Tamandua tetradactyla: one gene and its partner. The protein of the gene in region 1 interacts with the protein of each later gene in a pairwise test. Links are inferred from orthologs where the notes say so. Each region holds a gene or a part of one and is shown in the gene's direction. Other genes may lie near its edges. The genes, in order: SMURF1 and WFS1.

Region 1 (16,075 bases):
CCAAGACTGGGGGCTCAGCTTATAGCTTTGCTTGTCCATACTGCTTGTGAGAATATCAAGAATTCAACTTGGGGAAGTTGAATTTCTTCCTGTTCTCACCATTCCCCGAAGGGGACTTTGCAAATACTTTTCTACGCACTGATTGAATCACTCTGGGATTCATCGGGGCATCACTCTGGACAAACCAACAAAATCTCATGTCCTACCCAAGATTCCAAGTAATTATGGTGTTCAATCAAGCTATCTACATAAGTTATATTAGGAAATGCACTAGTCAAAATATAAATTTTGTACCAAATAAACGTTTTTTCAATAGCCTTGATTCTTGAAGATGATTGAATAGCTATAGAGCTCTGAAGGTGGGACCGTGTGACTGTGAAACTTGTGTCTGACACTCCCTTTATCCAGGATATGGACAGATAAGGAAAAAAAAGTCAAAAATAAATAAATAATAGGGCGGGAAAGGGATTGGAGGTTTTAGGTGTTCTTTTTCACTCTTATTTTTACTTTTGATATTTATTTTTGGAGTAAGAAAAATGTTCAAAAATCTTTTGTGGTGACGAATGCCCAGCTATATGATGACACTGTGAAACACCGGTTGTACAATTTGGATGATTCTATGGTACGTGGATATATAATATATCTCAATAAAATTGCACTAAAAAAGAAAAAAAATGACCCCATAAGAGGCAGAATTAAAAAAAAAATCTGCAAATGACCAAGAGAGGAAAAGTGAGCAAATATTACCCATAGGTGTGTACAAATGACAAAAGTGTGCTTTTCAAAGACACCATTCTTGGGAAGAAAGGACACAAGTCTTAAAGCTATGAATGGCTAAGTGTCATTCATCCAGGGAGGTCCTAGGCAGATAGAAGGTTAGACGCAGACGAAAGTATTTGCTTTAAGCTCCCTACAGGGTTCTACCAGGCATTGAAAAAAGTGAGTGAGACTGGATTTGAAATATCTATCCTTGAAAATCTCCTATCACGTTCACTAAGCAGGAATAGTAGCTAATAATTATATATCATCCCTCACCCAAACCAGATGCTGCTATTAAACCCCCAATTAACTTAATTTGTTTATATTAAGGCCTTTAAATAATGAGGTACAGCTCCCACCCTCTTCTTGGAACTAGGGAAATCTTTGTCACATTTATCTGCGCTTGTTTCTATTTTTGCACAATCAGGGTAAGATTGCAGCCTCGCTGGGTCCCAGCAGAAAGATGAGTTTGATTTATATACCGTGAAGGATGCAGTGATTTGGTTACTGGTTCAGCATATCCGTAGGACTGGAGAATTAGGTCACCTTCCTGCCAACAGAAACGTCGGCTAATATTTGCTACAGATGCGTACTTATTACAGGTCTTTTCTGATAATTGGTGCAAGACTGTGTGATTCATGAATTTTCCAATTTGTTTGGAATTACAGACCTACTTCAGCCTCTCCTGTTAGGCTGCCTCCATCCTTTGATGAGAGTCAGTATGTGGTTGGGGAATCAAAAAAAGGAGATCTGATTTAAACTCTCGTATCAGTTTAATCAAATGATAGGAGATGTACATCTGCTACTCTCCTTCCCCCATACATTTCCGAGACAGATTTTGTGGACTCTTCAGTATCGGGTCCCCTTTCCTATTGGGAGAAAGCACTATTGTGTGTGCTTTGGGCAGGAGGCAGTCCCTATTACAAAAGTAAAAGGGGGCCTTTGCTTTCCTTCTTGCTGACCTCAGGCCTAGTCTGGACTCAATAGGCTGGGAAACTCCTTCCTGGGCTTGGGCAATCTGGAAAGAGTGACCCCAGGGTGAAGGGACAGATGGCATTAATTCATGGGAGAGCAGGGGTGTCATCCTGGCCATACTGTTTCTTTCTGTTGAAAGAGTTTGCTCCTTGGCTGGTGAAATGTGTTGATCTTTGCCCCTTTTCTAACTTGCACTCAGAGCCATCCAAGGATTTGATGAATCCCCTGAAATTCTTCTAATATATTGTATTCTTTGCTTAAGTTACCCACATTTGTTTTTTAACATTCTAACACAAATACCCTTGTTTTGGATTTTGTACATCTCTGCTCCCTTCCTTTAACTAAAAGTGAAAACAATAGAAAGTTAATTGTATGCTTGTAACAGTGGTTCTCAAAGGTAAGTCTGCATCAGAACCACGTGGAGGGCTCGTTAAAACACAGGTTTTTGGGCCCAGCCCCTAAGTTTCTGATGCAATAAGTCTGGGGTGGGGCCTGAGAATTTGCATTTCTAACAGTTCCCAGGCTGCAGTAGATGGAGCAGATGCTGCCGTTCCTGTGACCCCACTTTGAGAACCATTACCTATTTTGTAGAGTTTCCTCCAACTCTGTCCAAAAACTAGTAAAATATTTAGCCAATAAATAGTGATTCAAGGCCTTATGGGGATATCCTTTGGCTCATCCCTGACTATTGTTGGTTATATAGCATAAGTGAGAAATAATGAATTGGGAGAACTTTCTGCCCTATTTTCCTGAACCAATAAAGATCAGAAATTCTTCAACAAGCAGGAGACCTGAAGCCTGGACATCTCCTTTGCTTATTTCTGAGTTTTAAAAATTGAGCTTACTATATTATCAGGCATTTTAATTACTTTTATTAGGATAATAATTTTAATTGTTTAAAAAACTGCTCACCCAAGTGGGAACTATTTTATAAACAAAATTATATTTTTTATGAATAACAGCAATTCAATAATTTTCTCATTTGATCATAGCTGTTTCTGAATGTAGAGTGAGGGATTCAACTAGTGTCCTTTTTTTTTTTTTTTTGCATGCACAGGTACTGGGAATTGAACCTGGGTCTCTGGTATGGCAGGCGAGAACTATGCTTTTAAAGAATTTTTTTTTTTTTTTTTTAACATGGGCAGGCACTGGGAACCGAACCCGGTTCCTCTGCATGGCAGGCAAGCATTCTTGCCTGCTGAGTCACCATGGCCCGCCCTAAAGAAAAATTTTGAAATTTGTCCCCAATTATCTGGCTGCATATGTTTGAAGGAATCATCTATCTCAAATATTTTCAGTCATAAGAAAATACTTATCAGAATGGCGAAAATTAAAAATAGTGGCAATACCAAATGCTGACAAGGATGTAGAGACACTGGCTCACTCATATATTGCTGGTGGGAATATAAAATGGTACAGCCACTCCAGAAAATACTTGGCAATTTTTTATAAAGTTAAACATGCATGACCGAGCAGTCGCACTCTTGAGCACTTATCCCAGAGAAATTAAAACATATGTACACACACACACACACACACACACACACACACACACATACAAGACCTGTACACAAAAGTTCAGAGTAGTTTATCTGTAATAACCAAAAACTGGAGCCAGCCCAGATGGGATTCAACTAGTGAAGACTTAGACTGTGGCGCACACGACTGCTCGTGGAATACTATTCAGCAATGAAAAGGAATAGTTTGGAAGAATCTCCTGGGAATTATGTTGAGTGAAAAAGGACAATCCCCAAAGATCACATACTGTGTGGTTCCATTTATATAGCATTTTTGAAATGACAAAATTTTAGAAATGGAGAACAGATTAGTAGTTGCCAGGGGTTGGGGGACGATGGTATAAAATGGCCACAAGGGGTCTTTGTGGTGTGGGAACTGTTGGGTGTCTTGATTCTAGTGATGGATCTATGGAACACACAGGTGTTAAAACTATATACCATTTAACATCCATAGCCACACTAATCAGTATAGGTAAAACTGGGGAAATCTGTGTAACCTCGTCATATTGTTTCAATGCCAATATCCTGATTGCGATCTTTTTTTGGGGGGGGGCAGGCACTGGGAATCAAACCTGGGTCTCTGGCATGGCAGCGAGCACTCTGCCTGCTAAGTCATTGGGCCCACACCTGATTGTGATCTTATACTATGGTTTTGCAAAATGTCTTCTGGGGACGCCAGGCAGAGGGATCCCTTTGTCTTATTTCCATCTATACAATCATCCATCCATGATGATCTCAATTAAAATTTCAATGAGAAAAAAATACTAAGTTATAACCCTTACCAATGATGATAATATAGTCAGCCTTGCAGATTGGAAATATTAGATCTGTCACTTAGAGAAAGACCCTAAAACCATCTGGGCCTAAAAGAATAAGTAAATAAATGTGCTAAGTATCACAATTTTGCACATCCAATTATTTTAAAAACTTGATGTTCAGATGAAAAGCAAAAGGAGTTTAGCTCCTAGCTCTAGAGACGACTGTAAGGGCTGATCTCATCCAGCCACTGGTGTCAGAGGCACTGGCTCATGTACAGAATCGTGCTCTCGAGAGGCATGTGGTATAGCTGTCCACTCCTGCCAGGAATACTCTGCACAATTTCCCAAACTTCCCCAATAGTAATTGCGGCTGCATCTCCCATAGTAGGCACTGGAACAAAGATGAGCACACACATTTTATATGTCCTACCACTCACCAAGCATCTGCTCTATTAGACTGCTAAGTCCACATCCAGGGTTTAACTTAACCCTCGTGCTGACTTTGGGTGAGAGACACTATTATCCCCATTTGACAGATGGACAAAGTGAGGCTTGGAGAATGTAATTAACTTGCTCTGTCCCCAGCTGAACTTGTGGTGGAGGCAGGGTAGCGGGTGGGCCTGTATGTGTTTTCTTTTCCAAAGCCTTCCCTGCTCGGTGTTACCTCCTGAACACATACATATGAGATAGTCGTAAAGATTATTGAATGATTATTTCCTTTAGAAGAGCGGTTCTTAATCTAGAGCCCTTACAACATCCACAAATTGCTTTCAGGAGATCATGAACCCACTGAAATTGGATGCAAACTTTGGCATCTGCCATGCATGAATTTTTTCTGGGGAAAGGGTCCAGAGTTTTCATCAGATACTTAAAGAGGTTTGACTCAGAAACAGGTTAAGAACTACTACAGCCAGATCCAAAGAAAGATTTTTATTTCCACTGGAAAATGTTTTCAGATGCCCTATAACACTGACGCAGGAAAATGAAACATTTGGGGGCAATAAAATCAGCTGCCAAGCCCATAGAAAGCAGGGTCAAAACTGCGCCTTCTAGACATTGCAGAGGACATGTGAAAAAACTCATTGAGTCCCAGCTTTGTTTCAGCAGAAATATTTGATAGTTCCTGTTTTAGTTTCCTAGCTTCTTAGACAACAGGAATTTAGTGGCTCACAATTTTTAGGCTAGAAGAAATTCAAAACCTAGGTGTCAGCCAGACAATGTTTTTTCCCTGAATATTGTGGCTGGGGCTGGCTGCTGGTGATCTTTGGTCCTTGTTTTTTATGTCACACGGCAGTGCACACAGCGATGTTGTCCCCTTTCTCCTCCGGGTCCCTTGAACTTCCTACTTCTTGCTTCTCCCAGTACTTTCTCTCTGTGGCCTTCTCTACAGGATTAAGACCCATCCTAATTCAGTTGGCCACACTTTAATTAAACAACCTTATCAAAAGGTCCTATTTACCATGGGTTCATACCCACAGGAATGAATTCAGATTAAGAACAACTCCAAACCACCGCAGTGTCCATGTGTTCCAGATGGTTTTAGAAGATAGTATTTTTGACAAAATTTGATACCGGATGAATAAATTTCAGGGTAGATCTTAAGTTCAGTATGAGGCCTAGGATAAAATCGCAGCTGATGACTTTTTTGTTAAGTGGCTGATGATTTTTAAGTGGGCAAATATCTTTTATCAACTTAGAGTGGGATAAGGTGTATGGATGGAAGATACTGCAGCTGTGCGATTGGTCTGGTGTTGGAAACTGCAGGAAAACACATTTACTTTCATGCCTTTGCATGAGAGGCTCCTGCTGCCTACAAAGCCCTTCTCCAGCCCTTTGCTGGCAAATACTGCCTCCAAGGTCCTTATATTGCCTTTCTGAGATCTCCCCATCCCCTCCCCAAAGGCAGATTTGCCCTGTAACCTCTCCCCTGGCCCTCTGTGCATATCTCTATCCCTGCATCAGTGTCAATTGTTTACGTCTGTCTCTCAGTTAGCTGAGCTTCTGAGATGCTGAGGCTGTGACTTGTGTCCCTGAATAGGTGGCCAAGATTTGGTGAATGAATTAAGTGTTAGCTTCTGATTAGGAAGGTTCTCCTTGTATAGTTTGTGGGGCAGCACACCATTAGGTGTTTCCAGTTAAATAACCGTAATTACTTGTTACCAAGTAAACAAAATACCTGTCAGCAAACTTCCAGAAAGGACCTCCTGGCCAGGGGTGGGTGGGGGCTGGAGGCGGGGGGGGGGGGGGGTGTTGATGAAATAATCAAGCAAAGGAAAGTCCAGACATCTAGGCAGATAAGAAAACAATGTGGTTAAGAAATAAATGGTTTCCAGGCCAGGAATGGTGGGGGAACAGAACAGGTAAGTAGAGAGAGAGAGTCGGGTTTGTTTGAGAAAGAATAGACTTCTTGAATATGGTAATAAAGAGGAGGAAATACTGACTGGGATGAAAGAAGAATGGGGATTATTTGGGGACATTAGACAACCAACTGTAAATGGGTTTATTCAGATCAAGGGACAATTGCCTGCAGAGAGAAACAGAGCTGGATTCTGGGTCTACTGTCCTGTAGCTTAAACACAGAACCATTTAAAGTCTGAGCAGCAAAAGGCCGTACAAATGATCCAGGCACACTTTTCTGAGGGATTGAAGCTCAGACAGTCAAAGCAGGACTCTGCTTTCATTTGGCTCAGATTGCAGCTGGCAGGCACTGCCAAGGGGCTCTAGGGACAGGGGCCTAGTCCCAAGACTGTGACCTCGGAAAAGGCCCAAGGTTGCAAGGGATGGCCACAACTGCCCAGAGCCTGGTTTCTTTAAGACACAAACCAAATAAGCGAATTAAAAGAATTTGTACATTAAAAGGATTACATAAAGTGGGTCAAAGACGAGTTTGATCAACAACCCAGCCTTCCTTTCTGTTAATATATTTCTTCTTCTCTACACCACGTTTGCAAGGGAATGTATACAGAGCTTCTAGTTCTAACCTGTAACCCTGAGAGGAGGGGAAGTGTTAGCAGAAGGCAGGGAAACGTAGGCGGTACTGCTGCTTGTCTGGTCAAACCGTGTGCAGACTGGATCATGACCAGCATCTTCTCTACCCCTCAACTTTATCCCTCTCACAAATCTTGTTTATCGTGTCCATACACGGTACTTTCTGCGCGATTCTGGCAACTCTGTTTCGGGTCAACAGAGTGCATTAGTTGCACAAAACCCACCCAAGGGACTTTGTCTCATTGAGAAGCCGCCCCCTTGAATCGGCTGCATTATCTGAAAACTCTACTCAAAATCTTCTTGAAGGCCCGTGTCGCTTGCGCAAGGGGCTTAGTCTAAGAACAGGCCAGGGTTTCATGGAGGCCTCCCTGCAGGAGCTTAGCAGGAGCCCGGGGCCTTGAGCCAGAGCCCAGGAAAAGAATTCCATCCTCGGAGCCTCCACGTTCCCATCTGCACGTCGGGTCCCGCAGAGAGGACCAAAGGCTGAGGCGGGCAGCATCGCCCACCCGTGTCGGGACGACCCCTCACCCCTCACCCCGGGCACCCGCGCTTCTCCGCGAGTGGGCTCCGGGGCGCTCGGCTCCTGGGGCCGCCAAGCCTCTTCCCAGCTTCCTGGAGAAGCCCGTCTGGGCCCGGCAAGAGCAGGAAGGTCCGGGTCCGCAAGCTGCGGAGCAGCCGCGCGCCCGCAGCCGGGCGGGTGACGTACGTGCGCGTGTTGTCCCGCCCCGACGCAGCCTGGGCGCGCGCACGCAGACGGGGGCGCGCAGGGCCGGGCCGGCGAGGCAGGCGCCGTGTGCGCGCGCGGCTCGGGAAGGCGGCGGCGGAAGCGGCGAGGGCGGCGGGCGTCCGGCTCTGAGGTGGTGGAGGCGGCGGCAGCAGCGGCGGCTCTGGGCTGGGCACGGCGGGGAGGGCGCGAAGGTCTGGGCGCGGGGCCGAGTGCCAAGTCCCGGCTCAACCATCCACCCGCCGCCCGGACGCCTGGGCCGCGGAGTTTGTGTCCCGGCTCGGACCCCGGCGCCCAGCCCGGAGCCGTAACCTTGAGGCGGCGGCGGCGGGGCCGGGCCGGGCCGGGCCGGGGGGCGGAGGCGCTGGATCCGCGGCTGCCCGATCGCTGGCGGGAGATGTCGAACCCCGGGACGCGCAGGAACGGCTCCAGCATCAAGATCCGTCTGACAGGTACGGCCGGCGGGAGGCCCGGAGAGCCCCGCCAGCTCCCGGTTGCCCCGCACAGCCCCTCGCCAGCCCCGGAAGCCCCCTCTTGTCGCCCTGGGGGGTGTCCCTCCCCCACGCCGGCCGTGGTCCCGGGACCTCGTCACCCCCTCAGCGAGTGCCCCTCGCTCCTGCTCGGCCCCGCCCCCTCGCTTCTCCCCTGCTGACCCCGCCCCCTTGCTTCTCCCCTGCTGGCCCCGCCCCTTGCTTCTCCCTCCCGACCCCGCCCCCTCACTTCTCCCTCATGGCCCCGCCCCTTCCCTTTCTCTTTCCCAACACCTTTCTCTTGCTTCTCCCCTCCTGGTCCCCCCTCTCGCTTCTCCCCTCCTGGCTCCACCCCTCACCTCTTCCTCTTGGCCCGCCCCCTATTCCTCACCGCCCCTGTCTAACCCCTTCCCCTTCTCTTTCCCACCGCTTTTCTCTTGCTTCTCCCCTCCTGGTCCCGCCCCCTCGCTTCTCCCATCCTGGCTCCACCCCTCACCTCTTCCTCCTGGCCCCACCTCTTCCCTTCCAAGTACCCCTCCTTTTCTCCCTCTTTCTTCCCCCACCTGCCTCCTCCACTCTCCTCTCCTGGTCCCGTCCCCTCGCCTTTCACTCCCAACCCCCGTTCTCCTCTTTGCTTTCCTTTTTCTCTCTACCTGCCTTGTTGCATCTGCCCCCTCTTTCTCCTCCCTCTTTTCTCTGGCTCCGCCCCTCACTTCTCATGGCTCCGCCCTTCGCTTCTCAGGACCCCGCCCCTCACCTCCCGAGTCCCGCCTGGCCGGCCTCTCCGCCCGGCCGCCTGGCTTCTATCCGGATGCATCAACTCATCAGCCTCGAATTCCTTGGTTCCAGCGTCTGGCCTCTCCCACTCCTGTCCCCCCCACCTCTCCTCCTCAGCCAAAGCTCTGCAGTCTGGTCCGCTTCCTCCCTCGGTCTCAGGCAGGTCCCTGTGTGCCCCAGTCGGCTTCTTTCTGATCCGCCTTTCACCGTGGTCACCCCACTCCACGCCCGTGAGCCCCTGCTAGGCGTCCCTCCCCCCACTTCTTGATGCACTCTCATTTCGTCTTCAGCGGGTATAGGTGCAGGTCTCCGCGGCCGGCCCGCGGGGGCCGGGATGCGTGTGGACGCAAACCGCGGGAATCGGTGCCCCGGGGCGGGGGTGGGGGCGGGTCCGGGCTGCAGCCGCGTGTCCCAGCGCAGCCCCAGGTGCGCACACCTGAGGCGGGGTGTGGTGCTCCCATATGGCTGTGCCGGGGACTTTCCAAACCACAATACTTCCAGCTCTGGAAAGGAAATAAAAAGTTCAGTCCACTCCCTCGCAGGGATTTTTCCCTCGATTTCTCTTCTCTTTAGTGGCGGGGCCCAGTGGGGACTCCGAAATCAGAGTCTGGTCGCGTCCTTTCAGGGCAGCACAGCCTTGAGGTCATCTGAAAAATCAATCCATGAAAACAACCCGGTGGTTTCATGAAAACTAAAATTTAGAAAAACAAAGTTGCTTGATACATTTTTTGTTTCAAGAAAAGGGTTGCTTTTTTTTTTTTTTTAAACAAGGATGTTAGTTGAGGAATTATTTGGACCCAAACCAGACCCTGGATTTGTAAGGTAACAGGTGTAAACTAGGGATTTCTGGAGAGGCATAATCCTTTATACCAGGGTGTGGCTAGGAAACACTTCTCAACGCATAGATAAAAACAGTAAGTTATTTTTATGGCAACATAAAAGTCATGTTTCTGACGTTGTGATACTTGTAAAACTTTAATTACTGACAACCTTAATTTGGTTCTCATTTACAATGTAATTTGTAACTGAGAGCAGATCCATTTGTTTTCTTTTTCTTGTTATTAAAAGCCGAAGTACCTGATTTTGTGAAGTTCAGTAGAAATGTGATTAAAATTTTAGAGAGAGTAAGATTTCAGGTACAGATATATGCATCAGGTGTGTATATATATATATATATATATATATATATATATTAATCAAGTCTAGTTGGCAGACCTAGGCCTGGTTCTTTTCTTCTTGAAGGAGAAGATTTGTTTTGTACTTCTCCCAAATTATTTTTGGACTCAGGAATTTGGATGTCATAGATCCAGAAATGCCTACAGAGGTTTGGTATGGCATTTGCTATTAAAGGATCAGGTGATGCGTGTTCTTTCTGAAATAAATATTCCTTTTAAATTGGTCTGTGAGAGTGACTGCTCCTGCAGCAGGTTGAGAGTGAAGCAGTGATGGTGGAAGCACCTGGTGGCACTTGTCTGTTGCACATTAATTTATGCGGAAACAGTGACATTAAATAGTTTGTTTGAAGATAGAATAGGTTTTGACTTCATTTTTAAGGTTGTTATGGGAAGTTTGCAATCATTTCATTTTTGGCACATTGTGCAGATAATTTTCAAACGTTGAATGCTTCTGTTACTGGTTTCAGAGTTTATTTCCATGTGTGATATTTGAAAATAAGAATTTTTTAAAATGAGGGCTATCTAACTAATCGATGATTAATTAATTACACACAGAGCGTAATTAATTGCAACATATGCAGACACTGGAGTTGTGAAACACCATTTAGAACTTTTTGGGTACACAATTGTGTTTGGTTATAGGGCAAAAGTTTAGAGTTAGGAGTCATGGATTCTGGTCAGATCTACCAGTAAGAAAATGATATGAAACTAATTTTTTATCCTTTCCTAACATACGAAATGAGATTTCAATCCTATTATAATAGTCTTTGCTTCTACTTTTCATGGGATTTGTCAGATTTCACCTATTCATTCCAAATTATTGTTGGGGACTTGTGCTTTCTGTTGCTAAGTCTCAATCCTCATATTCAGAAATTTGTATTAAAATGTAGCCCTCGTGTTTGATTTATGCCAAACATTGATTTAGTATATTGAATACTTTCATGATTTCTCTTTTTTTTCTTATGGACCCTTTTTGGTTTTGAAAATTGTTGGGTAATATAATGTTGAACACTTTTATCAACCTGGCCTAAACAGTAGAAAAATGCTGAATTTTTTGTATTTAAATGAATATAATTTCAGTGAATGTCTTTGTAGTGTTTTAGGAGGAAAGTTTTAAATTAGTTTCAGTGTATATGTGCAAAATGAAGCTATTTCTGTTAAAGAGCATTATCACAGCATCAGTTTTTAACTCATTGGCACATCAAACCCTTTGGAAACATTTTCATTTAAAATTCAAGTAGGGTTTGCAAAAACTTTGTTCTTATGTGGTACACAAATGAATCCCAGATACATTATTTTGGCCACTTTTGGTAAAATAATGGAATTTTCAGCTCTCTGAGCTTCACAGTGCTTTTCAAGAAAATTAAACCAGTTACTTGAAATACCTAAACTTTTTTGTGCTTTTGTGCCTTGAAATTCTCCCAGACTTTCTTATGTTTTTATATCTTCTGGAACGTGACTCTGTATTGTGAGGTGAGAAAATTCCAATTCCAAGCAAAGAGGGGGAAATACTTCCCTTGACAGCCTATGGAAATGACAGGCTATTTTTAAAGTTGCAGCATATGTGATGAAAGGCTGCCTTGCATTTTGGTATCCAGATGATGCAGCTTAGAGAGCAATAGTTGTAGTAATAGCTGTTAATAACTTTAATTGAGCAATAACAGGTGACCTAATTGATTAGAAATAGTTGTTTCTCTTAGAGATTTATTAACGGTCAAGAATGATAATTTTGTCAATTTGAACACACAGAGAACCTCACTTATGTGAGGTAGGCAAAACTTTTGCTTTAGCAACTGTTACACAGTTGCGGCGATAAAATGGAATAAGTGATCAGGTTTTAGCTATGAGTACTGGCATAACATTTTCCTTAGGGTTCCTGAAGGCTTAACAGAAGGTACTTCTTTGAGCTGAATTATTACTGTCAGATGGGTCATAGCAAATGCTGTTGCAAAACTAAAACTGCAGTCATACTTTAAAAAGAATCGCATTCGGCCAAATACTGGATCTATCACTGCTTTTGTGATGTGATCGCATTTGTGTTGTCTTAAAAACAACGCCACCACACACCTTATTTTGTGGTGAATCTCACTGACCCATCTAGCTGATTTTAGAAGTGAAGCATCTCTTTTACTTTATATCCTCATTTTTACAATAATTGTGATTTATTAAACATTTTCACAAGCACAACAGTTCCTGAACCTTGGGGTTTCCTTGTCTTCCACACCTTTCATTTTCTCTCTTCAGCTACGTTGTCATGTTCTAGTGTGGAATATTGGGCTAAAGAGGGGAGGTTCTAGGGTTTGTGTCACTTGTGAAGAAATACTTCCCCATGATTAAAAAAAGAAGAAAGACTGACCCATAATATTTCAACATCAGCTCAATGGTCCAGATAACTAGACTGGCTGTTTTGTAACATGTTTTGGGCACTCAGTATAAGTAAAGATAGCTGAATTGTGCATTTTATTAAGTGGTAAGAGAGAAAGGGAAGTTAGAAAAATCTTCTCAATTGAGTGAAATAATTTGTTATCTTCACAGTGCTCTGATTTTTCTGGTTAAGAAAGCCTAACTTTTAGGATTCTTATTTTGATCAAATTTTTGTAATTTCAAAATCATTTCAGAAGCTGCCTATTTTTAAATGAATAGGGAAGTAAAATATGTTTTTTTTTCCACCCAACAATTTAAATTGCTGGTTTGTGTGCTGTTTTGTAAGTGAATTTTATGGAGAGAAGGCCCCCCCCCCCCCTTAAATTGGCTTCTTGTTCAGGGCACTCTTCCTCCTAGCTGAGTAAAATCCTTAAGGCCATTCTATTCGAAAGAGAGCTGTAGAGCAGTGCTTAAAAAGCAAAAGCACATAGCCCTGTGGATCCGGCGGATCTTCTTTTTAAAACGTTAGAATTACTGTTGTGTCTACAGACACAATTTAATCCACTTATATATTTGGAATGTTGTTGCCACATTTCTGGATTAAAGGAAAAAAAATCCATTTATTGTTTTAAAACAAGGATTAAATAATGTACAGTCAGTGTGTCTGGTGATGCGCCCCGCTCTGGAATTCCAGCTGTGTTCACCTCCATTGCAGCTGAAAGGCATTCTAATTGGTTGAGGAATGTCGGTAACATCGTGTGTCTCTGAAGCTTGAACCTATTATGCTGGCTGCCGGGTGATGCATTTCAGATGTTTTAAGCTCAGGAGTCCAACTTGTAGGTTGCTTTCAGGAGTCTGGAAAAGAGTGTTATGAAGCTGTGGGTCGTAGCTGGCAGCCTGCCTTTTTCTTTGTATGTTGGGCATCCACTGAGTTCCCTGAAGGCCACACTGCTTTCTTGTGCCTTAAACATTGGATCGGGAGTCAGAAGGTCCTGATTTTATTTCTAACTCAAAGAAATGCCGTAATGCAGAAGGGGGCTGCAAAGAATTATAATCTTTTCATGCCTCAGTTTTCCTCTCTGTAATGGGGATACCTGTCATTTTATCTCTTACAAGCATTTGATAAAGATAGATTAAATATTTTAAAGGGTAGTTATTTGTAAGTTCAGTCGTGTATGTACAGAGTCATTGATTCCTATTGTTTCTTATTCTTAAATAACCCATGTGAGTACATGATAAAGCGAATGATACACTTTAACATTGAAGGAAATCTATCAAATCTATTGTTGAACATGGAGGCACAATAATTAAGAAAGAATTGTTAAATTCTCTATGTGTTCAGAGAAATAATGCTACAAGCCAAAGCCATCATCATCCTACATGGTGAATTCTTGGAAGCAATCCCATTAAAATAAAGAAATAGTACAGGGATGTACATTATCACAATTGCTATTAACTAAAGAAAGACATCGGAAAGGAGAAAACAAATTTACTATTATTTGCAGATATATGATTGTATATGTTGAAAAATCTAAAAGAGTCAGCTGAAATATCAATTATAAATGATGAAAAACTTTAGCAAAAATTGCTGGATAGATTTCTTTGTAAAATTATAAAATCAGTATGCAAAGACCAAGTAGGAAAAATAATGTTCAACATATAGACAATGAAAGTCTGGTTTCCTTAATATATAAAGGACTTTCAAAATCAATTAGAAAAAGGCAAATAACCTTTTGACAGAGCAAAACACTGTTTTTCTAGTAGAGTGGCAGAGGCCAAAAAGTTTGAAAATATACGGTGATGACAAAGGTATGGAAAAACAGGAACTCTTACGCTGTTAGTTGGGAATATAAATTGAATCAGTTGTTACCAGACCAAAGCAGCGGATTCTTTTGCCCAACGCACTCAAATGACTAATTCCTGAGACACCGGGATTTCAGAGAGAAAAAGTTTATTACTAGGCACGTAGCAGGAAATCAGATGGCCAAATGGCCCAAAAATGTATCTCCTCGAACTGCAGTAATTCTGATAGTTTTATAGAATTACAAGATGGGCAGGTTTTAGAATAATGAGCACTGTGGGCCCAGATGATGTAATTGAAGGTGGTCTAATTATTGAGCGTGCGCAGACGGATTACGTGCTTAGTCACAGAACGTATATAAGAAAAAGGCAGCCTTAATATGGTGATGAGGGTCATTTTTAGTATTATAATTAGGTATAAGTGACTTGTAGGTTAAAACCTAAGCTACCGTGCATGTCAGGTAGGCCCATTTTGATTAGATCCAGTCTCCATTATCAAGATAACTTTGGACCTGGGGTGATTAGTTCCGGGCTGACCCAGGACTCTTCATTAATAAACATTAGGGGCTGTCTTAGTGATAACAGGACTCTAAGTTGAAAAACTGGATAAATGGGTACAAATGAAGGTTTTTCACAGGCTTTTACAATCACAGGGACACAAGATAAAGGCTGTGCAATCATTGTCAGAGAAGCAGCTGTATTGCAATTTAGAGATTTCAGGTATTTCCCTCTGTCTACTAACATTATACCAGAAAGCAAAAAGGAATATCTATATAATGATTCAGTAATCAAAATTATCTCTTACGTTCTAATTTCTCGGTTACACAATAGGTATGGAGGGTAGTTTGGTATCATCTATCAGATATTAAGTGCCTGCACCCTTAAAGCAAGTGATTCTGCCTCGTGGAATTTTTCTTATAGAAAAATTTAGGCATTTAGGTACAATAATTATTGCAACATTGTTTAAAATAATAAAAGACTGGAGACAATCTAAATGTGTTTCAATAGAGAACTAGTTAAATAAATTTGGTATATTCTCATGGTGGAATACAGTATAGCTCTTAAAAAGAACAGGATACTGCTTTGTATTTTGATATGGAACATTTCCCAAGATATATTATTGAGTGGAAAAGAGGCAAGATTAGAACATTGGATATGACATGCTACTATTGAACTAATAAATAAAACAAAAATAAAAGGGAGGAATTTATGAATATAGTTCTCTAGAGTATCACTGGAAGAATACTGGTGAAAATATTAACTGTGGTTTCCCTTGGGGAGAGAAACTGGGGCCTGGGGTCATGGTGAGAGAGAGAGAGAGAGAGAGAGAGAGACTTTTTTTGCTGTATAACTTCTATAGTGTTTAATCTCTCTCCCCTCACCTTCTAGAATATACATTACTTTTCAGCAATTAAAAAATGTTGAAAACAACAACAAAAAATTATCTCCTAAAGAAAAAAGTGTAGAGCAACTAGTACCTTAGCTGCCAATAGCTATTGTTTAAAATCTAGATGTTCTGAAAATGCAAAATAATTGTGCCAATGTACTTTTTTAAAGCACGAAATGGCATTCATGTCTAAGGGCATGCACCCATGTTTTGTGTGTTCTTACCAGGAAGGTGAGAGTAAAATAAGTTGAACAAACTTATTTCCCAAGGAATATGTTTATTCTGATACTGAGATACCCCCAAGAGACTTGTCCCAGTATGATCTGGAAGTAAGCTTAAATGATTCTTGCCAGGTTCAGAAATTTAGTTCTTCGTAGACCT
Region 2 (13,776 bases), on another chromosome or scaffold:
TAGGTCCTACCTTGCGCAGAAGGGAACTCACGGATCTTCCTCAAACCCTGTGGAATTCTGGCAACTGCCCTCACTTCATAGGTGAGGAACAAGGTGAGGCTCAGAGATATCCAGTGAGTTTTTCTAGGTCTAAAAACCTCAGCTAAGCCAGATTGACCTGATGATCCAGCCACGGCAAGAGCTCAGGCGCCTTATCTCGTTCTCTCTCTCTCTCTCTCTCTCTGTGCTCAGTCCTCCAATTTAAATGAAAACAATTCTGGAGGTGGAAAGCTTGAAGGCAGTGCTTGCTACTGGGTCACATGTCGTGGCCTTGCTCTAGTTTGCTAGCTGCTGGAATGCAACACACCAGAGACGGATTGGCTTTTAATAAAAGGGGATTTATTTTGTTAGTTCTTCAGAGGAAAGGCAGCTAACTTTCCACTGAAGTTCTTTCTTACGTGGAAGGCACAGGATGGTCTGTGCTGGTCTTCTCTCCAGGCCCCTGGGTTCCAACAACTTTCCCCGGGGTGACTTCTTTCTGCATCTCCAAAGGCCTGGGCTGAGCTGTGAGTGCTGAGATGAGGAATGACGAGCTGCTTAGGCTGTGCTACGTTGCGGTCTCTCATTTAAGCACCAGCCAATTAAGTCAAACGTCCTTCATTGCAGCAGGCATGCCTCCTAGCCGACTGCAGATGTAAATCAGCAACAGCTGAGGTTCATGTACCATTGGCAGCGACAAAATTAGGTACACTCACCTGGCCAAGTTGACAACTGAATCTAACTATCACAGGCCTCTTCCAGCTTCTGGGGGCCACTGGCATTCCCTGGTGGGCAACCATTCTCCTCCACTCTCCCAGGCCAGCATGCTCCAATCTCTTAGCTCCACCTTCACCTATCGCCTTCGCTGGGTGTGCCCAGTCCCCCTCTACCTCCACCTTAAAAAAAGGACACGTCTGATGGCATTTGGGGCCACACAGATAACCAGTAGAATCTCCCAATCTTTTGATTGTTCACTGGATCACTGCAAAGATATTCTCAGATAAGGTCACATTTACAGGTTCCAGGAATACCTGGTATCTTGGGGGGGGGGGGTCAATCATTTAGCCGACTATACCAATAGTCTGAAAAAGCCCCCCAGTTCTGCTCTCTTTTAGAAGATGACTCCCCAGGCCTCCTTCTTCCTTTTTCTTTGCACACTTTGCAGAGCCAGTGCCTGGAACCGGTGGGAAGCCACTAGATGTTTGGTGAGCAAAGGGAAGTCAGCTTTAAATGTGGGTAGAAAGGAAGCAGCAAGAACGTGGAGCACAGGATTTAAGGATTGTGGGAAGAAATTAGGGGACTGCAGGTGGGACACATGGACTGATGATGGGAGAAGCATATTGCTCTCTCCTGGATGGTTGGTCTTTCTGAGCTGACCTATTACATTTTTAGTGTTTCAGCTCCCTGGAGCATGTAAAGGGTTTCTGTGTTCTGACTGAGGCACCTTCAGCAGTCTCACATATTTTGCTGAAGTTCAATTTCTTCTCCTCCCTCACTCTTCTATAGGAGAAACTGTTCAGTGTTCTTCCCTCTACTTGTTGTGTTTTCTCCAAGGGTTCGTGAAGTATGTTCAGTGCCCACGAGGCAGTGGCCAGTCAGGCGGTGGTGGGCAGCGAGGCCACTTCTGTTCCTGTGGTCAGAACGCATGAGTCGGCACCCCTGATACTCTCTCAAACATTAGGGACTCCAAGGCATTAGGCCAAGCTCTTGATCTCGAGGCTTGCCCCTGTGAAGTTTATTTATGTAGCAGAGAAACTAAGCCTTCCTTTCGTTACGCCTGAGTTACTTCCAGAGGACCTTTGTTGTTGCTCAGATGTGGCCGCTCTCTCTCTAAGCCCAAGTCTGCAAGTGAAATCATTACCCTTCCCCCTACATGGGATATGACATTCAGGGGTGAAAGTCTCCCTGGAAATGTGGGACATGACTCCCAGGGATGAGCCTGACTCTTGTACCGTTGGATTCACAATGCCTTCCTGACCAAAAGGGGGGAAAGAATTATAACAAGGTATCAGTGGCTAAGAGAGTTGTTCTAGTTTGCTAGCTGCTGGAATGCAATATACCAGAAACAGAATGGATTTTAAAAAGGGGAATTTAAGAAGTTGGTAGTTTATAGTTCTAAGGCTGAGAAAATGTCCCAATTAAAGCAAGTCTATAGAAATGTCCAATCTAAGGCATCCAGGGAATGATAACTTGGTTCAAGAAGAAAAAGGCCTGATGAAGTTCAGGGTTTCTCTCTCAAATGAGAAGGTACATGGCCAACATGGTCAGAGTTTCTCTCTTGGCTGGAAGGGCATATGGTGAACATGGCATCATCTGCTAGCTTTCTCTCCTGGCTTCCTGTTTCATGAAGCTCCCCAGGAGGCATTTTCCTTCTTCAACTCCAAATGTCACTGGCTGGTGGACTCTGCTTCGTGGTGCTACAGCATTCTCTGCTTTCTCCGAATCTCTGGCTTTCTCCAATATGTCCCTCTTTTATAGGACTCCAGAAACTAATCAAGACCCACCCAAATGGGTGGAGACACATTTCCCCCAATCCAGCTTAACAACCACTCTTGATTGGGTTACATCTCCAGGGAGATGATCTAATTACAGATTCAAACATACAGTATTGAATAGGGATTATTCTGCCTTTATGAAATGGGATTTAGATTAAAACATGGCTTTTCTAGGTGACATACATCCTTTCAAACCAGCACAAGAGTTCAAATAGAGTGGAAAGGCCACTCTGGAGGCTACTCTTATGCATGCTTCAGCTAGATATTGCCATTATAATGGCTTGCCAAACCCCAACCAAAACCATTCCTGGCAACCCTAAAGAACATCGAGGGCTTTATCTGAGATTCTAAAAAGGTTTCCTGCACTATGGCTACTTTCCAGAAACCTACGACTTCCAGATGTGTTCCTAGGCCAGATAAGTCCTGAAATCCAGAGGACCCAGCCTCTCTAGAACATCAGTTATTTCCATCCCCCTATCCCATATTATTGGCAGCCCTTTCCAACACGAAAAAGTTAGAAAGGGCAGAACTCAAATACCCCTAAAGATTGGGAGAAAGAGCAAAGGAGAAGGTGAAGTTATAACAGAGAAGATAGGATTTAATAAGTGAGTATGACTGCTGAATCATTATATTGGTTCCCCAAAGGTGGACTGCAGGAACCATCTGGGTCTTTGGGAAGCCACCTAGCCTCCAGGGCTCCCCAGTAAAAGGAGAGGAGGAGAGAATTGTAAAGATGGGAGGGTCAAAAATAGAAGCGGCTCATTTAACTGGTTTATAAAGAGCCTCTAAGATACCAGTAGATAAATGGTAGGGCAGATGCTTCTCAAAGTTAACAAGCATGAGAAGTCCAACCTTGTTAGCTACCATGATGTCTTAGTTTCCAGGCTGCTGTGACAAATCACACAAGTTGGCTTAAATAATGGGAATGTGTTTCAGAGGCTAGAAGGCCGGCTTCCTCTCAGGGATGGCAGCGTTCTGGCTGCTGGCATTTCTTGGGTTCCTTGGCTTTCCCGTCACTTGGTCATGTCCTCTCCTTTCTCTCCCAGGTTCCTGCTGACTTTTGGCTCCTCCCACTGGATTTCTCTTTATTAGACCCCCAGTAATAGGATTAAGACCCACCCTGGTTCATTTGGCCACCCCTCAATTAAAAAAGAATCCTCAAAAGGTCCTATTTGCTATGGTTTTCTTCATTTACAGAGGAAGAAACTGAGGCGTAAAGACCTTCCCGAATGTCAATGTGCAGGTTAAAAGATCTGATCTGGTGGGCCTGGGGCGGCCTGGGATTCTGCATCTCTAACAAGCCGAAATGATGCCGAATCTGCTGGTCCCCAGAGCCTGTTTGGAGTAGCAAGAGGTGGAATAAATGGCCCAGGGTTACACAGGGAGAAAGGAGTCATAAATCTAGACGCCACGCTGGTTTCCCTGTCTTTATTTGCTTTTAGCAACTTCGCTGGAACGAGGATATGTATCACAGTGTTATTTCTAAAAACAAATATGATCATGAAATGGGAAGCAGCCCAAATTCTAGAAAAGGCAGATTGTTGAAAGTGATTAATTCTCTCAGGAAATATTTATTGAGGGCCTACTATGTGCCAGGCATGCAGTACACGATGGGCTCAGAGTCCCTGTCCTCTAGTGGGAGAAAGAGATGGGAGAACAAGTATCCCTAGGACAGGAGATGTGCAGCCGGAGGTGTGGGAGTTTTGAGGGAGAGGCTCCAAAATCTGGGATGGGGAGCAGGGAGCAGCCTAGCGATGGGATATGCCTTTTCAAAGGCACTAAGAACATCTGAGAATCCGTATTTTCTTGTGATAGGCCCGAACCAAACAGACTTTGATAGAAAACTATATATATGGTGTAATCATAATGATGCTTGAATATCCTTTTTAAAAAAATATGCAAAATATGCACATATTCCAACAAGTAAACAGTGATTGTCTTCAAGTGATTTTCTTCTTCTTTTTAGTTTTCTGTATTCTCCAAATTTTCTGGAATTAGTGCATTATAAGGGGGGTAAGGACAATTTTTAATGCATTGCTTTGGGCAAATAACTATCCATCTTTGAGCCTCAATTTTTCCATCAGTAAAAATGAGTTTAAAGCCTCCTGCCCCAGGGGGTAGCTGGTGGTGAATGGAACCACCATTTGTGAATACAAATCCTGGCAGGGGACAGAGCCCCAGGAGCCCGAGGTGGCGGGACAGGGCCTCTCATTCTCAAAGTAGACCTTTCCCTCACCTCTGAACCCCACCTCTCACTCACCGAGAGCACAGAAAAAAGAGGGTCTCCAAAGCTCCCCAACCTAGCGTCACTCCACGCGCACACGTTATTTTATAAGGGGAGCCCTCACACTTACCCCGTGAAAGCATGCTACGTCGCACTTGATGGTGTGCATTTAGAGCAGGGCTTGGTTACATGCAAACATTTACACAGACTCAGTTTTTCTCTCTCTGCTTTGTTTTATTTGGTGAGCCCCCTCTTACCACTGGAAAGGCCGGAATTAAAGCTTCTAAAAATGCACTCGTTAAGATTATATGAGCAACTATAATGAATCTGAAGTTGGGGCTCTTTGGGCCTGAGATGTAGACAAAAGGCGAACCCATTTTGGAGTCCGGCCCTGCTTTACTGAGGCGAGGGGCTCCGCCCAGCGATGGAGAGCGTGTGGGCGGGGCGGGACCGGGGGCGGGGCCGGGCCTCAAGTCCGCTAGGAAACCTTGGCGGTGGGCGTGTCAGACCCCGCCCACCCGGCGTCCTCCGAACAGGCGGCACCAGGGGAGGGCCGGAGGCAGTCTGGCGAGGCGCACCCTGATTGGCAGGTGCTCCGGCTGCTCGGCGAGTCGAGCTGGCTTCGCGTCCTCGGGCCGTGCCGTGATTGGAGGGCGTCCGGATGCCCCGCCCCTTTCCCCGCCCCTCTCCCCGGCGCCTTGGGCTGCGCTGGTCGGCTCCCTCAGCAGCGAGCGCCACTGTCTGTTCCCGGTGCTTCGCTCCCGGCTCCGGCCCTTCTCGCGCCTCCCGAGAACTTGCCGCGGACCCAGAGGCCCGAGGGCGTCGAGGCGTCACGCGGGCTCACTCGCGGGCCGGGTGAGTCGGGTGAGTATGGCGGGGCGGGAGGCAGTCTGCCGGGGGCTGTAACGAGACCCGGGAACGCTGGGAGGCGACCCCGCCTCGGGCCTCAGTTTCCCCTTCTGCGTGGAAGGGTGGGGGTGCTGATCCTCTTGGCCCCTGCAAGTTCTCAGAAGTTGGCAGGCTGGGGACCCCGCCCGCGCCTGCGAGCTCAAGGCGACCCCTCCGTGGGCGGAGATTGGGTGCAGGGGGTGCGCGCCCCGCCCCGGACCCTGTCCCGGGCCCCGCGCCCCTCGGTCCCCGCCGGTGCCCGCGTTCCGAGCACTTCCAGCCCGCGGGGCCCGGCGGTGAACCCCCAGGGCGGGCAGAAAAGCTGAAGGGACCGACCTGCCCCATCACGGCCCTTTCCCCGCAGGCTGGAAGGCGCCGGGACCCCCTCCGCCAGCCCCCACCAGAGGCTGCGGACTGACGGGGTTCGGGGCCCCACAGTGGGGGCCACCGCGGGGGGCCAGCTTCCTGGCCTGGCTGAACCACCCCCAGCCCCCAAGTCCGCTTAGGAGTTGAGGGGCAGCCACTCCCCTTCTCAGGTTCCACAGGCTCCTTCTCACCAAGGGAGCGGGCAGTGGCAGCTCCCTTGGCCCTGGCCCTGCGGGACATTGATTTTTGTTTGGGCAGTTGGAAGTTTTCTGGGGAATCCAACACAGCCCTTTTGGATGTGATGGAGCCTTTCCTCCAGCCCCATTTTTTGTAGTTGATGTTATGAGATTCCAAGGCATTAACATTTGTGCAGCACCCTCACCCCCCACCCCATACGCACACAGTAGTCTTGGGATTGTGGTCCCCATGTCATGCAAGAGAGAGCCGAGGCTTAAGGGGGTTGGTGGCCTGCCTGGGACAACGCAGCCTGGAGTGAAACCTCCGCCCCACACCCACAACGGAGCTAAGAAGCACAGCACCGTGTCTCCTCTCCTTGGACAGTGACCCCTGGCATTTGGCCCAGGGCTTTACTGCTTGTCGCGGGCTTTCCTGCTGCTTGGGTGCATCGCTCACCCAGCCTGTGCTGCCGCAGCCCGGGAGCCTGCTGATGGGAAGCCCAGGGGCCACCTTGCCTGCCACCCACCTGTTGTTCCCTCTCCAGGGGGCTCTGAGGCTAACTGCAGCCCCTTCGCTTGGGACCAGGGATTTAGAGAGGCATTTCTAGCATTTTTCCCTCAGGGAGGCCCCCTCACCCTCTCCTGCACCCGCAGTGGATGGGCCTTTACTAGGTGCAGGAAAGGTTGGCTAGGAAATGAAATCTCACTTTTTCCCCCAGTCAGGCCTCCCCTGTCTGTCACAGGCCAGCACTGGACAGGCCGTCTGGGCTGGTGCTTGTCACAGAGGAGAGCATGACTCCATCTCTATCCCTGGAAATCTGCAGGGCACATACCAAACACTCATCCATGATGGTGGTGCTCAGGAAAATCATAATTATGGAGCTTTATGCTGCACAGAGTATCCCCCGCCACGTCCCTACCTCAGCAAGTGGTACCCCCTGACTGCCCCCCATCATCCGTCAAATTTAGCTGGAGACGGTGCCTATCTGGCCTGGCTCCTGAGCCTCTCTGAATTCTGACCTGGTCCAGGCCTCCTCAGTCCAAGTCTCAGTGGCTACCTGGTCTCCTCCCTGATTGTTCCTGTATCCACACAACCCTCTGTGGATGGTTCTTTAACCGTGCCACATCTGTGCTCAGTAGCTTTCTGGCTTTTTCTGGCCTGTGGGGTCAGGTCCATCTTCTAAGCCTGGCATTCAGTGCCTTCCCTGACCTGCCCTGCAGCTTACTCAGCCTCTTCTTGCTTGTGTCTCCCACAGGCGCTCACTTCGCAGCCACATTTAACTTTCTAGACACGCTGTGGCTCGCTTTCTTTGCTCCTTTCTCCTGGGCACAGCCCCCTGCCAAGAAGCCCAGGTCACCAGTACTCCTTCCCCTCCCCCCACGCTGCCTGTGCTGAAGGAATGCAGAGGCCAGACAGGGCCTCTCTTGCAGAACCCCCACTTTTCCCTGGGGAAAAGTGGAGCACAGAAGAGTGAGGGACCTCTTCTGTGCTCCACAGCCCCAAGTGCTGCCCCATCTTTGCTCTTACTGCATGAAGCTGGTCACCTCTTTAGGAGCTGCCCTCCTGTCCAACCTGGAAGGCCAGCCCTGTTTTTTCCTCTCAGGGTGTGGGTGGTCAGGACAGTGTCTGGCATAAAATAGCTCCTTAATCCAGGCACGCTGAGCAGCCCGGACAGGTGCAGAGCAGGTGCCAGGTATGCAATGGGGGCCGGGCTGGTGGGGTAGCACCTAGCTTTCTGTAGCCATCTGGGACTGTGTCCCGAACATCCCCAGCTGGAGGTTTATGTGAACTTGCCGCGTTGGAAGGAGTTTGGCCCTTAATCCTCTAGAGCAAAAATAGGTAGCCGGGAGCCACCAAGGGCTTTGTGCCCTTGTCTTAAGGAGTAGGCCTCTGTCAGGGCCTCAGGCCAAGAGACCTGGCAGGAGCAGACATCCCAGCCTCAGAGACCCCTCCCACTCCTTCACCCCAGCGTCCTGCTCCCGGACGCCCACTCCTTTAGGAGTTAGTTGCAGATGGATTTTTAAATAATATTTATTTTTTAATTGAAAAAACATTGCATCTTCATTATAGAAAATGAAGGGAATGCATTTAAAAAAGAGAATAAAATAAAATCACCCATCATCCTCCCCAACCCCAGTGAAAACCATTGTTAAAGTTTTGGGGGAATTTTCTTCCATCTTTTTCTGTGGATGTATTGCTTTTCATCCTAAACAGACTTGGGCTAATATCTTGTGCTATTTTAAATGTTGCTTAACAGTATGATACAGCCATTTTCCTGGTCTTTAAATCTTTGTATACAAAGTCACATTTACTAGCTGAAAATATATTGTGTTGCAGCATATGGAGGGGCCGTAATTTGTACAACCACTTGCTCTCTGGATGGTCCTGAAGAGTGGGGGTGGGAGGGACCCCTCATGTGTGAGTCCTGTGGGCTCTGATTGTCCCTGGAGTGAGCACCTTTAAGGCTTTCCAAGACACACATCTCAGGAGTGGGCTCAGGGGTCAGGGCTGCCTCCTGGGAGTGTGGGATTGCGGCCAGCCCAGCACGGCTAAGAGCATCTTGGGCACAGTGCCATACGTGGTTCCTCTTTCAGGTCTCAGTAGATGCGTGGGCCGAGCAGGCCCTCTAGGATGGTGGCCCCTCAGCTGAGCTCCATGGTGCTGGCATTTTGTGTTTCGATGGGATAAAAATACTCGGAGCTCAAGCTCACGGGTAAAGAATGCGAGCCATTCTGGTTTTTTTTTTTTTGGATTTTGCACAACGACCGTTCCTAGCCTCTGCATCAGCCATCAGGTGGGAGCTGGGTCTGAGCCCTCCACCCATGGGGAGGTCAGAGGGGTCCGTGTGGACAGTGAACCCTGGTTCTGGGGCCTAGGGGAGGGACTAGCTAATGGTCTCCCTAAGTCGAATCCGCTGGCTCCCAGCCAGCACTCCTGCTGGGAAGCCTGGCAGCCCTGACCCCGAGCACGTCAGCAGGGATCCAGCAGTGGGTGGGCTTCAGGGGTCACAGAGTTCTGGGGAAAAGGTTCGGTAGAAAAGGAAGGGTTTATGTCAAAGTCAGAAGGACCCCGGCCATGAGGCCCTGTGACCCAGTCAGTCCTGGGGAATGAATCGTTTTGTTTTGCGGTAACAAGGGGAGGACTAGCCACCCCTCAAGGAACCTACAAGTAATCCTCCTTCACTCACCCATTCTGACTCAGCGGAGATTTTACTTTAAACAGTTTTATTTTGACTGTAACGTGACATGCATAATATCTAGCCTCACAGCCCAGCCAGAACCAGTACTTTCCTGAAATTTCTTTTGTCAGGTGTTTTCCAGTCGAACCTGTCTTTACGTAGTACCTGGGAGTAACATGTGGTCACCTAATCCAGTTTAACAACCACTCTTGATTGGGTTTTAAAAATGCTTTCTAGTTCACAGGTTGCTTTCTCTTCCATCAACCCTGAGTCCCCTTAGCACCCCTGTATGGGGGGTAATATCCTCACTTTACTGGTGGGGAAACTGAGACACAGTGAGGTTAAGAAAGGTGCACCTGGGTTCCACTCCCGGTGTTTTGTCTGCTTGTAAAGTGCCCTGTGTCCTGGGTCTGTGCTGTTCCTCCAATCCAGGGCTCCTCCTGAGGGTACAAGATCAGTGAGTTTCTAAGAGCCTGACAGAGAGAGGGCTTTGATGAGGATACTCAGAACTCAGACTCTTACTGAGAGCAGGTGAGGAAGACATGGGTTCAGAGCAGAGGCCACCAGGAAACTCGTGGAAGTTGGAGCTTGATCCTCTGCCCTGTAGACCATCTAGGGCAAGTGATTGCAGGTTGATGCTGAAGTGCAGCAGAGTTTTTGGAGTGAGGGACCAGGAAGGGGATGTAGTGGGAGGTCTGATTGCAGAGGCGGACAGGGCCCAGAGTTTGAAAGGCCGTGTTCTAGTTTGTTAGCTGCCAGAATGCAATATACCAGAAATGGCTTTTAAAAAGGAGAATTTAATAAGTTTCTAATTTACAGTTCTAGGGCCGAGAAAATGTTCCAATTAAAAAAGTCTATAGATATGTCCAAATAAGGCATCCAGGGAAAGATCCCTTGCTTCAGGAAGGCCGATGAAGTTCAGGGTTTCTCTCTCAAGTGAGAAGGCACATGGTGAACACAGTCATGGTTTCTCTCTCATCTGGAAAGGCACATGGCAAGTACGGCATCATCTGATAGCTTGTTCTCCTGGCTTCCTGTTTCAAGAAGCTCTCCAGGAGACGTTTTCCTTCCTCACCTCCAAAGGTTGCTGGCTGGTGTACTCTGCTTCTCGTGGCTATGTCATTCTGCTCTGCTCTCTCTGAATCGCTTTCATTCTCCAAAATGTTCCCTCTTTTATAGGACTCCAGAAACTAATCAAGACCCACCCACATGGGTGGAGACATGTCATCACCTAATCCAGTTTAACAACCACTCTTGATTGGGTTATATCTCCAGGGAGATGATCTAATTATGTACAGTATTGAATAGGGATTATTCTGCCTTTACGAAATGGGATTTTCATTAAAACATGGCTTTTCTAGGGGATATACATCCTTTCAAACCAGCACAGGTCACTATTTCAAAAGTGAGCTTGCAGCAGTGGAAAAATCAGAGGGTTTGCAGTGAGGAAGATGTGGATTCGAATCCCAGTGTCAGAACTGCTGTCACATATGCCACGCGGTAGTGGGCTGAATGACAGGAATGTGTTGGCTCATGGTTTCGAGGCTAGGAAAAGTTCAAAATCAAGATCTCAACAAAGCTTGCTTTCTCCCCAAAGATTAGTGTTCACCGGCCTGCTCATCTGTATCTCCGCCTCCTGTTACCTGGTGAGGTCCTCTCCTTTCTCCAGCCTGTTGCTCCCGGGTTCTGTCTGTGAGGCCTCCAGTAATAGGATTAAGATCCACCCCCATTCATTTGGCCACACATTAACCAAAAATGACCTCTTCAAGAGGTCTTGTTTAGAGTGACTCACACCCACAGGGACGTGGAGTAAGATAAACAATGGATGTACATTTGTTAGGACACAGAATCCAACCTACCATATGGCCTCGGGCACACACCTCACCTTTCCTACCTCTCCTGACCTGAGTTTTCTCACCTGAGATGGGGTGAAGGTAGAAGGAGAAACCATTTCTCCATCTTAAAGCCAGGATAATAGTTGTACCTCCGTCACACGTAAGGCTGAGATGAGGGATCCCAGAGAAAATCCACATGGCACTGTCCACATGCAGCGTTTGTTGTTGCCATTATTGAAGCCAGGGTTGGCCCTGGCTTGGGAAGGCTCTCAGGAGGTCGAGTTGTCCTTTGTGTTCTAAGCAGGTGGCACTTGGGCTTCAGGGGCCATTGGAGCCACGTGGGACTGCGTGGTGGGAAGTGCCATGTGTGGTTTGGAGAGCCGATGTTTCTGCGAGTCGTTCCCCGCTTTGTAGTTTCTGGGTTGTCGTGTTGCTCTGGCTTGCTCCCCGCCCACAGCTGGCTCTGCTTTCTCGGGTCTGCATGTGGCTTCCGTGATGTAGCCTGCAAGAGTTGCCTCTAGCTTTGATTCCCAGAAGCCTGGACTTCTGAAATACACTGAGCATGGAGTCAGTTTCCCAAGTAGATTCCACCTGATCCGGCGTTTTGTTTGCAGCCCAGAGGATGTTTTGAAAGAAGGGCTCAGTTCTCTCCGAGAGAGGAATGTCCAGATTGAAATCTTCAGTGTTCTTTGGCCGGCACAGATTTAATCTTCAGGACTCGTTCGCATGGGGAGGGGGCAGAGATGGTGGTACGGCCCCTGGGGACAGGCGTCTGGCAGCCTGGCTGCCCCTGGCTTCCGGCGTTGACTGTCTCTGCAGATAGCTCCAGCACTCCTCTGGGTCAGGTTCACTGCAAGGAGCTAGGTGATGAGAAACGGCTAGGACCCTGCCCCTCAAGCAGCTCTTGGGTCTCTGGCCTCATTTGGGTCTCGTAGTTGCCCCAGCAGATGAGGACACTGAGGTGCAGAGATGGAGGGCCGTGACCTACCCAGGACCATGCAGCTCAGGGGCACTGTTCCTGGAGCCCGTGTCCTAGTTGGGAATCTGAGGACCAACCTTCCCTGTGCTCACCACTTGGTGTGCGCATGGAACCGAGAATTTCACAGGTTTGTGGGCCCCTGAAGCCCATGCAGGGCCCCCAGGATCCAGGTGCTGAGGTGTTGGGGACCTCCTGGGTCTGTGACTCATGGTTGCCCTTTGGTTATGTTGATGGTTTTTTCCAGTTGCTAAACAGCATGTGCAGCCTATTTTATTGACTAACTGAGTCCTTTCCCTTAACTGGAGACGTGTTCTGTACTTGTAGCCTATTCTAGTAATCCATTATACCAGTACTATGCTATTTTAAGCTAGTATGCTTTATAACATGCTTTAATATTTGATGATGTTAAAGTTCTGTGATTTTTGACCTCTGGTTAGAACTCTGGAGTTGGGCAGCTCTGGTTTAAAATCCTGCCTCTGCCTCTGTCATTTTTGTTTCCCTCGCTTTCCCTCCCCTTCTGTCCTTCTCCACTCCCCTACCACCTTCTATCGACCCAGCCCCTGCCCCATCCCACCTGTCCCACATTTTTTTAACCTTCATTCTGCATAAGGCACTGTGCTCAATGCTCCTTGTAGATTATCTTATTGAATCCTCACAAAAGAGCCATAGGGTGTTATTATTTTGCCCCTATTTCTCAGATGTGGATACCAAGGCCCAAGGTCATGTGGCTTTTCAAGACTTTTGGGTCCAAGTTTGTAACTGCTAGATGATATGCTGAGCCAGGCTTCTTTGAGAAAGTTGCTGTTCTCGATTTCCTTCAGGGGTTGTTGGGAGGTTCCAGGAGATGGCAGACAGCATGTTTGGCAGCCACCATGCCTGTTTGTCTGCGTGTTCCCCTCTCTGTACCCAAAAAGTAAATGCTGAAGCTGCCCTGCTTGACTGGCCTTGGCGTGCATCTGACCCTGGTGTGCGTCTGAACACGGTTTTTCTTGCAGGCAGTATGGACTCCAGCGCCACCCCTCCGAGCCCCTCTCGCCCACACCCTGGGCCCCCGCTGCAGCCCCAGGCCCGCTCTCGGCTCAATGCCACTGCCTCAATGGAGCAGGAAAAGAGTGAGGCACCCCTAGCTCCTGGACCCCAAGGAGGACCTGGACGGGATATTGGAGACACAGCTGCCCCAGCCGGGCCCCAAGTCCAGCGTGCCAGAAGCCGAGACAGAGTGGATGGAACCGGTAAGGGTGTGGGGCCTGGAACTCTGATCTGATCTTTAGTCCAGGCCAGAGCTGTTTGCACTAGCAGCTGTGGCCTTGGAACCCCTGAGGGGTTCCTCCAGTGGACGGTGGCCCCTGTGGGTCGGTTCTGCAGCCTTCGCCTTAGTTGGGGAGGGCCCACACCCACCCTGCTGTGGGCATGGGCTGTCCATGGTGTTTCCCCTGGGGCCTTCAGCTTTCATGGTGTGGTGGGCTTCCAGCCCACGTTCACAAAGAGGGGTTGTTGGCAGATGGCACGTTTCTTCATTTTATTTTTAATCAAGTGATTTAATTTCACCCTGCCACCTCATTGGGCTGATGGGTAATTCCACATGAGGGGAGGAAGGCCTCCCTTCCCCTGGGGCG

What was found.
Region 2: the proteins of SMURF1 (region 1) and WFS1 interact in binary tests that used the Homo sapiens proteins (3 or more experiments, as listed by UniProt). The link is inferred for Tamandua tetradactyla from reciprocal best matches to the Homo sapiens genes SMURF1 and WFS1.

What each region holds. Positions count from the first base shown.
Region 1 is NC_135349.1:7,189,449-7,205,523, reverse strand, and holds the start of SMURF1 (E3 ubiquitin-protein ligase SMURF1), read left to right. Parts: upstream 1-8,064; 5' UTR 8,065-8,118; coding exon 8,119-8,173; intron 8,174-16,075. UniProt on the Homo sapiens protein: E3 ubiquitin-protein ligase that acts as a negative regulator of BMP signaling pathway. Mediates ubiquitination and degradation of SMAD1 and SMAD5, 2 receptor-regulated SMADs specific for the BMP pathway.
Region 2 is NC_135345.1:6,647,366-6,661,141, reverse strand, and holds the start of WFS1 (wolframin), read left to right. Parts: upstream 1-5,434; 5' UTR 5,435-5,592; exon of another isoform or gene 5,593-5,601; intron 5,602-13,155; 5' UTR 13,156-13,160; coding exon 13,161-13,392; intron 13,393-13,776. UniProt on the Homo sapiens protein: Participates in the regulation of cellular Ca(2+) homeostasis, at least partly, by modulating the filling state of the endoplasmic reticulum Ca(2+) store.